Oryzias latipes: one gene and its partner. The protein of the gene in region 1 purifies or fractionates together with the protein of each later gene. This does not show direct contact. Links are inferred from orthologs where the notes say so. Each region holds a gene or a part of one and is shown in the gene's direction. Other genes may lie near its edges.

Evidence for each region. The genes of interacting proteins can lie anywhere in the genome.
Region 2: the proteins of jade1 (region 1) and meaf6 purify together in Homo sapiens (affinity purification with mass spectrometry; 5 studies listed by BioGRID and IntAct, counting the BioPlex papers as one, with this or other methods). This does not show direct contact. The link is inferred for Oryzias latipes from reciprocal best matches to the Homo sapiens genes JADE1 and MEAF6.

The regions. Positions count from the first base shown.
Region 1 is NC_019880.2:21,646,587-21,651,297, forward strand, and holds part of jade1 (protein Jade-1), read left to right. Parts: intron 1-336; coding exon 337-494; intron 495-626; coding exon 627-811; intron 812-1,807; coding exon 1,808-2,019; intron 2,020-2,136; coding exon 2,137-2,304; intron 2,305-2,378; coding exon 2,379-2,495; intron 2,496-2,745; coding exon 2,746-3,309; intron 3,310-3,604; coding exon 3,605-3,722; intron 3,723-3,817; coding exon 3,818-4,711.
Region 2 is NC_019869.2:19,899,012-19,905,390, forward strand, and holds the start of meaf6 (chromatin modification-related protein MEAF6), read left to right. Parts: upstream 1-2,627; 5' UTR 2,628-2,771; coding exon 2,772-2,861; intron 2,862-4,062; coding exon 4,063-4,178; intron 4,179-4,265; coding exon 4,266-4,353; intron 4,354-4,429; coding exon 4,430-4,475; intron 4,476-4,560; coding exon 4,561-4,750; intron 4,751-6,295; coding exon 6,296-6,325; intron 6,326-6,379.

The DNA.
Region 1 (4,711 bases):
GTAAGGAAAGGCTGACTATCTAAGTTCCAGAGCTTAGCATGTGTGGATGGAAACTTCTCTTATCTTCTGAACAGCGTGTGGACTTTGTTCCTGCAAGTCACACAATCTATCACTGCCTTCCTATTGGTGGCTTTTTGCTGCTGTTGCAATTTTTTAAATCCTGTTTTTTACATTTCTGGCCTTCAGTTAAACATTTATATGGAACAACTAATAGTTGTTAGGTCATTTTTTATGATATTTGTCCAATTTTTCCAAAGTTTACAGTGAGAACGGGTGTTGTGTTTTAGCTAGTGGGGGCAGACGGGCTGTAACTGAGCGCGTTCGCTTGTGCGGCAGGTTTTTAGGACGGACCTGATCACCGCCATGAAATTACACGACTCCCATCCGCTCAACCCAGAGGACTACTTTGTGCTCGCCGACCCGTGGAGGCAGGAGTGGGAGAAGGGAGTCCAGGTTCCTGTCAGTCCGCAGTCCATCCCACAGCCCGTCACCAGGTACCACGCACCCCGTTGTCTCCACGAGTCCCCGTGTTTTCAGAAAACCCGCGTCAACTTTTAAAAACCCCTTCGTGGATGACGCGGTCTGGGCCTGAGTCGTGGGTTGGAAACATGTGCCGTGTTCTGCAGAGTGTTGGTGGAAAAAGAGAAGGAGCTCATGTTCATCAGGCCAAAGAAGCTGATCCGCACGTCTGGCACGGAGGCGCTGGGATACGTGGACATCCGCACGCTGGCAGACGGGGTGTGCCGCTACGACCTGAACGAGGAGGACGTGGCCTGGCTGCAGATCGTCAACGAGGAGTTTGCAGAGATGGGTGAGTTTGGCATGCGTTGATTCCAACTTGTGAACAGGAGACTTTAAGACCCGCGGCATTGAAAATTGTGTTTTTAACATGTTCTTTTCTCATGATGGAGGACATTTATAAAGACATTTCAAGATTAAAACTCCATTTTTGAGTATTTCTGTATTCAAATGGTGATGGATCAGGAGCAGACGTTTGAAAAAGCTGAGGTTTGTTGACACAGCAGCTGCCATGGGCGGGGCCAAAGTCTCCCTGCTCCGCCCTAATTCCAAATCCTCCATTTGCACGCCAACAGATCCATGAACGTCTGTGTTTTCCTGGTCTGAGCTGGAATCTGGATCTAAACTGTACTGCCGGATAGCTCTGAAATTGCTCGCTGTTTTTGTGCTATGCTAACATTAGCTTGGGGTTGTGAGGTGCTGGAAGCTAACAGGAGAGAGTGTAAACAAAGGCATGATGGGATATCAACATAGGGCTACTTCCATGCCAACAGTCAGCCCACAACCCAGGCAGGAATTTCTAACGTCTGCAGAAAATCTGTCTGCTTTTTGCATTTTGCGATAAACGGCACAATCCTGATTAAAAAACCACTGGGACCAGTTTTACAATCAATAAAAATCTAGTTGGAGAGGGAGAACCAGAAAAACAGCTCAGCTGTGGATCACTGAAGCGACAGCAGCTTTACCCGTCTGTCCGTCACCAAAACACGTCAAAATGCGGTGAAGTTTCAGGGTCACGACCTTTGCTACCTTCATGAACGCTGCTTCTGGTCGGGAAAATTCAGCTCTTCAGTTCTGGAGCTCAAACATGTAAAGCAACCCAGGACTTGTGGTCTTTGCTGCAAGTGCTGTAGGTTTCGATGCTTACAGAGACCAGAGAGGTTCACTAAACATGCAAACGGACACAAATGACCCGGTTTCAGATGTTCAGCGCTGGGGTCCACAGCGACCCCTGGTCTCCAGTCAGATCTCCGGATCATTTGCTGACGCCGTTCTGCTGCCGTTCCAGGCCTGCCTCTGCTTGACGAGAACACCATGGAGCGGGCGATGGAGGAGTTTGAGCGCCGCTGCTACGATAACATGACGCACGCCATGGAGACGGAGGAGGGGCTGGGCATCGAGTACGACGAGGACGTGGTGTGCGACGTCTGCCAGTCGCCGGACGGCGAGGACAACAATGAGATGGTGTTCTGTGACAAGTGCAACATCTGCGTTCACCAGGTCAGCGGATGGAGGGCGGAGCCTCCACACTCTGAATATTTAGTCTTTCTCTTTCCTAACATTGTGAAAAACTCTGACCTTTGACCCACTAACATGAAACCCTCCCCTTCTCCTCAGGCCTGCTACGGCATCCAGAAGGTCCCCCAAGGCAGTTGGCTGTGCCGGATCTGTGCGCTCGGCATCCTCCCGAAATGCCAGCTGTGTCCCAAGAAGGGGGGGGCCATGAAGCCGACCCGGAGTGGAACCAAGTGGGTCCACGTCAGCTGTGCCTTGTGGATCCCAGAGGTGAGGGTCAGCCCCGCCCCCCCGTCATGGTGTGTTTACCTGCTGGTGCGTGACGCGTCCGTCCTGCCGTGCAGGTGAGCATCGGGAACCCAGAGAAGATGGAGCCCATCACCAACGTGTCCCACATTCCCAGCAACAGATGGGCTCTGATCTGCTGCCTGTGCAAAGAGAAGGCCGGGGCCTGCATCCAGGTACCGCCCCCGCCGCCACTGCCGCTCACCTCCACAGCCCAGTTCAGCAGGACGTAGCAGACGGGATCACCCGTTATCAGATAATTGCTGTAACGGATCATCCTGTTTTCATTTGGAAAAACTAGGAAATGTGGTATAGATGTGATGTTTGGTGATGATTAAAAACAGGGTTTGGTTTGTGAACCGTTTAAAAACCCACTTCAGCTCTGATTTCAGCCCGACATCTGACTGTCGGTGTGTTTCTTCGTAGTGCTCAGCCAAAAACTGCCGGACTGCCTTCCACGTGACGTGTGGCCTTCAGGCCAACCTGGAAATGAACACCATCCTCACTGAGGACGACGAGGTGAAGTTCAAGTCCTTCTGCCCCAAACACTCCGGACACCAAGGGGCGGAGCCGCGAGACCAGGAGTCGGAGGACGAGGAGGAGGAGGAGGAAGCCGCCGGCCATAAAAAAGGCAGGAAGGGTGGGGTGACACGGGGGGGAGACGCGTCTTCCTACCCTCTGCCGTCCTACGACCAGGAAGGCCTCAGCCAGCAGGAGAAAAGAGTCAGCCTCCGCAAGCTGAAGCTGCAGGAGATGGAGGAAGACTTCTACCGGTTTGTGGAGGTGGAGGAGGTGGCCGGCAGCCTGAAGCTCCCCCCAGAGGTTCTGGACTTCCTCTACCAGTACTGGAAGCTGAAACGCAAAGCCAACTTCAACCAGCCGCTCCTCACGCCCAAGAAGGATGAAGAGGAGAGCCTGGCGCGACGGGAGCAGGAGGTCCTGCTGCGCCGCCTCCAGCTCTTCACCCACCTGAGGCAGGACCTGGAGAGGGTAGGTTTCTGGGGGGCGAGGGGGAGAAGACGGTCAGGGGACGGGCCAGACAAAGCTCTGAAGTCGACTGAATAAAAACCCAGTGAGACACGGCGTGTTTGCAGCCTGTAGAGGGGGGGGTGATGGGAGGACTCTGCTCCCCCAGCATCTCCCTGTTCTGATGCTTCACTGCAGCTGCGGGCCGCCGGTGGAGCGGCTCAGTCTCTGTGACAAACGAACAGGAAGACGTCGTAAAGCTCCGGGTTCTGCTGTGTGAAGTCATGGTGATCTCTATAGAAGCTGCTGTTGCTTCCAGGTCCGGAACCTGACCTACATGGTGACCCGGAGGGAGAAGATCAAGCGCTCCCTGTGGAAAGTCCAGGAGCAGATCCTGCAGCAGCAGGTGGTCCTGCTGGACCAGGAGCTGCTGAACGGTGAGTCCTGCCTCCAGACGCGTCGCCCTCTAGTGGTCAACGTGTCGGTAACGGTCAAGACGGCCTCATGCTGATCCCCAACGGTTTCGTTTCAGGCAATCCTTCGCCCAAAGACCTGGAGAGGGTCTTCTCTCTGGGCTGGTTGTCCTCTCAGTCCAGCTTGTCCCCGAGTCTCCCTGAGCTGCAAACCAAGTCACCGAAGCAGAGGAGAAAGACGAGCAGCGACCGGAAGAACCAGTCCGACTCCTCTCACACCCAAAGGAGAGAAAATCAGGCCAAACCCGTGGAGATGAAGGACAGCAGCAGCTGTCAGCTGGGAGAAGTGGTTCCCGCTCAGGCAGGAGGCGGAGCTCCAGTCCAAAGCGCTGAAGTCAGCAGGGAGGGGTGGAGCTCCAAGCTCGGGAGGCCAGACGTCATCCAGGAAGCTGTAGTCCGGCTGCACAAGGTGGAAAGCAGGAAGGCTCTGAGGAGGGAGGCCCCGCCCCCTGAACAGGAGGAGCGGGGGAGGAAGAGGAGAAGCGAGGCCGCGGACGGCTTTGCTTGTCCGATGAAGAACAAGCTGGGGTCAAAACACCTGGAGAAAACCGTCTCCATCAGGCTGGTGGACATCAGGAACTCTGACTCAGACGAGTTCTTCATCGACGAGGGCGTGGCCAAAAGAGGCCCCGCCTTCTCAGATGTGACGCCAAACTCTAAGGTCAGCAGGGCCAGCGTGGTTTTAGACGCCGCCACTCTCCCGAAAGCCAACGTGTGGCTGAGAAGAACACCCATCGATGGCGCCCACGCCCCCCCGGGGGCCGCGGCCGGACACCTGAGGAGCTGGGGGAAGTTCCGGATCCCCAGGCGGGGCGAAAGGCCTCCGGCTGTGGCGTGGAAGGAGGCGGCGGAGCCACACAAGCCTCTACTGAGGCCGCTGACCAACACGCCAGAGCCCTCCTACCCCAGAACACGACTGCGCACGGGGGCGGAGCATGACGGGTACCCGCCCG
Region 2 (6,379 bases), on another chromosome or scaffold:
CATGTGGACTGTCTGGAAAGAGGCCACGGTCCCCCCATAGTCCGCCTCTGCAGCAGCTGTCCTCTCAGCTGCTTCTGGACCGGCAGCTGCAGTTTGGTGTCATCTTCAGAGCATCCAACCAACAGGGTGGAGCATCAGAATGTGTCCATGCCGCAAGCTAAAGCAGCTCACTGACAGGTGGACCACAGATTTATGTACAGCTTTTGTCCAACTTGTAGAAAAATACTGATCTGAACACAGAAGTAACCCTTTGTGCATGAGGTTTCAGACTCACAGACATTCGTTTTTAGTATTCTGCTGAATATTTGATCAGAAATGATAATTTCACTGACAAAACTTTTCCATATCAAAAAACGCCCCTATCACCGTCCGCGGGTGGTTTCTCACCCAAACTCGGGTCCTCTACCAGAGGCCTGGGACGTCGAGGGTCCTGCGCAGTATCTTAGCTGTTTCTAGCAATGCGCTTTTCTGGACTGAGAGGTCTGAGGTCTTTCCAGGTATCTGTTGTAGCCACTCCTCCAGCTTGGGGGTTACTGCCCTGAGTGCTCCAATTACCACAGGCACCACTGTTACCTTCACTTTCCATGTTTTCTCCAGTTCTTCTCTGAGTCCCTGGTATTTCTCCAGTTTCTCAAGTTCCTTCTTCCTGATGTTCCCATCGCTTGGCACCGCCACATCCACCACAACGGCTTTCCTCTGTTCTTTATCCACCACTACAATGTCTGGTTGGTTGGCCATTACCATCCTATTAGTCTGGATCTGGAAGTCCCACAGGATCTTTGCCCTCTCATTTTCTACCACCTTCGGAGGTGTTTCCCCATTTTGACCTTGGGGTTTCTAGTCCATATTCTGCACACATGTTCCTGTATATTATTCCAGCCACTTGATTGTGGCGCTCCATGTATGCTTTACCTGCCAGCATCTTACACCCTGCAGTTATGTGCTGGATTGTTTCAGGCGCCTCTCTGCACAGCCTACACCTTGGGTCTTGTCTGGTGTGGTAGATCTGAGCCTCTATGCTCTGGTGCTCAGGGCTTGTTCCTGAGCTGCCAGGATGAGTGCTTCGGTGCTGTCCTGTAGGCCAGCCCTTTCAAGCCATTGGTAGGACTTCTTGACATCCGCCACTTCAGTTATGCTCCGTAGGTACATCCCATGCAGTCCTCCCATGAGGATCTGTCCTCCACTGCTTCCTTTGCTCTCCATTGCCTGAGACATTCACTGAGCACACTGTCAGTTGGGGCCTTGAGCTTGATGTATTCATGCATGTTGGATGTTTCATCCTGGATAGTGGCTTCTACGCTCACTAGTCCTCGGCCTCCTTCCTTGCGGCTAGCATACAGTCTCAGGGTGCTGGATTTGGGATGGAACCCTCCATGCATGGTGAGGAGCTTTCGTGTGTTAGCATCCATGGTCTGTATCTCTTCCTTTGGCCATCTTATTATTCCTGCAGGGTATCTGATTACTGGCAGTGCGTAGCTGTTTGTTGCCCGAGTCTTATTTTTGCCATTGAGCTGGCTTCTCAGGACTTGCCTTACTTGTATGAGGTATTTAGCTGTTGCAGCTTTCCTTGTTGCCTGCTCCAGGTTGCCATTTGCCTGCGGAATTCCAAGGTACTTGTAACTTTCCTCAATGTCTTCCATTGTTCCTTCTGGGAGTGGGACCCCTTCTGTGTGGACTACTTTGCCTCTCTTTGTCACCATCCGGCTACATTTCTCGAGCCCGAATGACATCCCAATGTCAGTACTGTAGATCCTGGTGGTGTGGATCAGGGAGTCAATGTCACGCTCGCTCTTAGCATATAGCTTGATGTCATCCATGTAGAGGAGGTGACTGATGTTGGCCCCATTTCTGAGTCGGTATCCATAGCCAGTCTTGTTGATTATTTGGCTGAGGGGGTTCAGACCTATGCAGAACAGCTGTGGGGACAGAGCATCACCATGGTATATCCAAAATTTGATGGACACTTGTGCAAGTGGCTTCCCATTGGCTTCATTTCCTATGAAGAGTCCTTTTGATGTTGTACAGCTCCAAGCATTCAGTGATCCACGTGTGTGGCATTGAGTCATAGGCCTTCTTGTAATCAATCCAGGCTGTGCACAGGTTGGTGTGTCGTGACCTGCAGTCTTGAGTGACTGTTCTGTCAACCAGGAGTTGGTGTTTGGCTCCTCTGAAGACTCTACCAATGCCCTTCTGTGTGTTTGCTCATGTATTGATCCATGTGCCTATTTATCTTGGTTACAATGATGCCAGACATGAGCTTCCATGTTGTGGATAGACAGGTTATTGGGCAATAGTTGGTTGGGACTGCACCCTTTGAGGGATCCGTCTAGATCAGGATCGTTTGCCCTTCCGTTAGCCATTCGGGTGAGTCCCATGAGCAGCTGGTTCATTTGTGCTGGCAGACGCTCGTGGAGTGCGGTGAGCTTCTTTAGTCAGTAGGCATGTAACATGTCAGGGCCCGGTGCTGTGCAGTTTTTCATACCTGAGACTCTTTCTTGTATGTCTGCCACTGTGATGGTTACTGGATTCTGTTCAGGGAGGTTGCTATTTTCTTTTGTCAGAGAGACCAGCCACTGGGCATTACTGTTATGTACTGTCTCTTTCTTCCATTTACCTTTCCAGAACTCAGTTCAAGTATAAAACAAGGTAGGAAGAGGGTCCTTTCACAACGCTTGGGCGCCACCTTGCGGTCTTATCTTTGTCGGCACCAACGCGTCTCCAGTTTTCCTGAGCGCGCGCGCCTCCTCCCGTCGGTTCCGGAACGAGCCATCATGTCGATGCACGCGAAGGCGACCCCGCCGCAAATCCCGGACACGCGTCGGGAGCTGGCGGAGCTGGTGAAGAGGAAACAGGAGCTCGCCGTGAGTCCGCAGTTCTGTTTCAGCGGGTTAAATGTTTTTTTTCGGAACCCGGGTTTAGCGCGCCAAGCTGAGATACCCGAGCATTAGCTTATGCTAGCTGAGCTAGCAGGCCGCAAAACCTTTATTGTGAATTGTCCTAACTAAGCATCGACCAAGAACAAAAACACTTTATCCTCACATCGAAAAAAACATTTAAAGTTTGTGTTTCTGCGTTTCATGTTTGAATGTTTTATTTTTTCACGTTTTTTGACGAACAAAATCCAAATTAGTTTACAGACCTGAAGCACGAACAGTGTGTTCTCGCGATACCTTACGTTTTGAAACTCTTTATTGTTCAACACCGTTGTTTACAGAGTGGAACCTACTAAGATTTAGTAGTGAAAAACCAAGTTACAATCGCGTTACATTTCTGTCATAGGTTATTTTTCTTATCTTTTTGCGACTTTTACTGTTTTCATCTCTAGTTGTGCTTCTAGTAATACTCTAAGTAATGGAAAATGACCTTTATTGTAAAGTACTAGTGCGTCACTTAAAATTACTTTTTTTGTCTAACATAAAACGTTTAACAACAAATTTGCTTAATTACCCAGTACTGTAGTAGTAGTTTTTTTGGTTTACATACTCGTTTGGTTTACATACTCGTTTTTTAACATGTTGTTATTGTTTGGACGACTACTCTTTAACTTTTGCCTCCTTAACATTATTTAAAATAATGTTTTGCTTGTACTTGAAAGATGTTTCCCGTCAATTTATTGACCTTTATTGACAATAACAAGCGTCAAATTCAATTAAAAAGTCTCAAAATGGAATTTTTCTTGAATTTAGTTGGAATGTATAAATGCATGTATCCATCATCTACCACTTCAAAGATAGAAAATGTTTTTCTAGTTGTATACTGACTCTGCAGTCTTGTGGATTTCTATAAACATTGAATTTAGTTCATAAATTGGAAAATTAGATGATTGGGTTGATCAACTAGGAAGAGAAAGACCAATTCTGGAGCTGAAAAATTCAAAGTTTACCTCAAGTGGCTAAATAATGAAACAATCTTTACCAGAACCTCAAGAGGATTTTCAAGTTTTTGATGGTAAAAATAAATGAATGAAATAAATTTTAAAAAAGCTATCTTTGTGAAAAGATAAGCACTGATCTTAGCTTGACCAATCAGAACGTCTGCAGTAAAACCGTTTTAACGACACAGGAGACGCTGGTGAACCTGGAGCGGCAGATTTACGCCTTTGAGGGCAGCTACCTGGAGGACACTCAGATGTACGGGAACATCATCCGAGGGTGGGACCGATACCTGACCAACCAGAAGTGAGTGTGAATGCGGCAGACTCCGGTGAGGTTAGATCTTCTGTGCGTTTGCTGATCGGGTCCTTTTCTTTTTCTGCGATCAATCAGGAACTCCAATAGTAAGACTGACCGGAGGAATCGCAAGTTCAAGGAAGCGGAGCGTTTGTTCAGCAAGTCCTCTGTCACGTCCGTCGCAGTAAGTACTTCCTGCGCGTGATGCGTTCAGCCATCTCATGTGAAGTTGCTCCTCAGTGGTCTCTTGTGATTGGCAGGCAGTGTGTGCGCTCGGCGGGATCCCGGATCACATGAACGAGAAGCGTGAGTCAAATTTGCCTACTTTCCTGGTGCCTGGGCCTCCTCAGAATGCCGGTTCTGACTTGTTGCCTCCCGGGGGATTCCCCAGGTGAGGCCGGCAGCGGCACAGAGAGCGATGCGTCTCCAGACCTTCAGAACCAGGAGAACGAGCCGAGTCAGGAGGACACGGAGGACGTGGACTCCACGCTGCACGACCTGAAGCCTCAGAAAGCCGCCTCCTCTTCCTCAGGCAGCCATCACGGGAGCTACAAGAAGAGGAAGAACAAGAACAGACACAGGTGAGGTGTGGGCGGGGTTAAAGCTGAGCCGCAGCAGATTCACCAGAACTTTTCTGTTTAAATTTGGAGATTTACAGCTTTAACAAGGCAAACTAATATATTTGTGTTATTAAGATCAAGAGAACAGATTACACTTAATAAAAATTACAATAATTGAACATTTTTACAAAATATGGTGATTTTTTTTTTTTTTTTTTTTTTTTCCGTCTTCTTCTGACTAAAAAAGTTGAAGTAGAAAACGTTCATTTCCTAAAAAAAATGCTCGTGTGATTGCTGAAGCTGGCTACAGATGATGATGATGATGATTAGGGCTGAAACGATTCCTCGAGTTACTCGACTTACTCGATTACAAAATTTCCTCGAGGAAAAAACTCTGCCTCGAAGCCTCGTTACATTCCTATGACGCGCACTATACGCAGGGATTTGATTGTGTCACACGGACCTTTTGAATTTAGTTGGCGCGATGGCGGAGAATAGATCTATAAATAAACGGCAGAAATTGTCTTAAGTGTGGGATCATTACACACTTAATAAAGAAGAGAACAAGGTGCAGTGTCTGTACTGCAAAATAGAGCTGGCATTCCACAACAGCACATCTTCCATGATTCAGCATCTGAACAGAAGACATCTGCGCGACCGCTGGAACCCCGACGCCTTACCCGCGCGTGCCGCCGGCAGCGAGCGAGGGGCGGCGGGCCGTGGAGGGGGCGCCGATAGGCAGGGGCTGGGACAGGCGGTAGCTCGCCTTTCGGCGGACCGCAAGGCTTCTTAACATTTGCATCAGAGCGGATCTTTAAAATCAAATGCTTGTTCATTTTACAACCACATCATTTTTGTTATGCATTATTTGTTTTGGTTGTTCAAAAACGCACACAAATCGTTTTATCCGATTACTCGATTAATCGATCGATTAAGTGCTATATTAATCGATTACAAAAAGAATCGATAGCTGCAGCCCTAATGATGATCATGATGAAGCACCGGAGGATCTTTTGAGGCTGAAACGTTTGATTTAAAAAAAAAAAGATAACTTGAACGAATGGACTGGGTTGGATCTTCATCTTCATCCTGTGGTTGTGTTCAGTAGAAGCAGGAAGATCATAAAATGTTTGATATCAGATGAAGATCTTCTGAATCTGGACTCTTAATTGATCACCTTCAGACTGTTTCTTTGCAGGAAGCCTCTCCTCTTCTTGATGGTTCTCAGCTTTTGTTTTTCATTTCTTCATTTTCCTTGACTTGACTTTTCTTTTTCTCTGTTCTTTTTATCTCCAGATTTGTGTGTGTTTTTTTGAAGTTCTGCTCATTAAAAAAAAAAAAAAAAAACAGATCAGCTGGGACTCCTCCACTGATCCCAAATGTCCCGTCGAGCTTGTTGCTGATTGTAAACGAGTTCTTTTCAGAGAGGTCTCACTCTGGCGGCTCCAGGAACGTTGAAGGTGGACTCTGAAGTTCTGTCAGAACCGCAGAGTTCCCTCCGGTAGTTCTGTAGAGTCTGAACTAACTGCTGCTGCTCTCTTCCTTCCCATAACGCCGCTCCCTCAGCCCTTCTGCCATGTTTGATTATGACTTCGAGTAAGTCCAGATTTTACTTCCTGCTCCTTTGTCCCCCGCCCCCTCCACCTGACC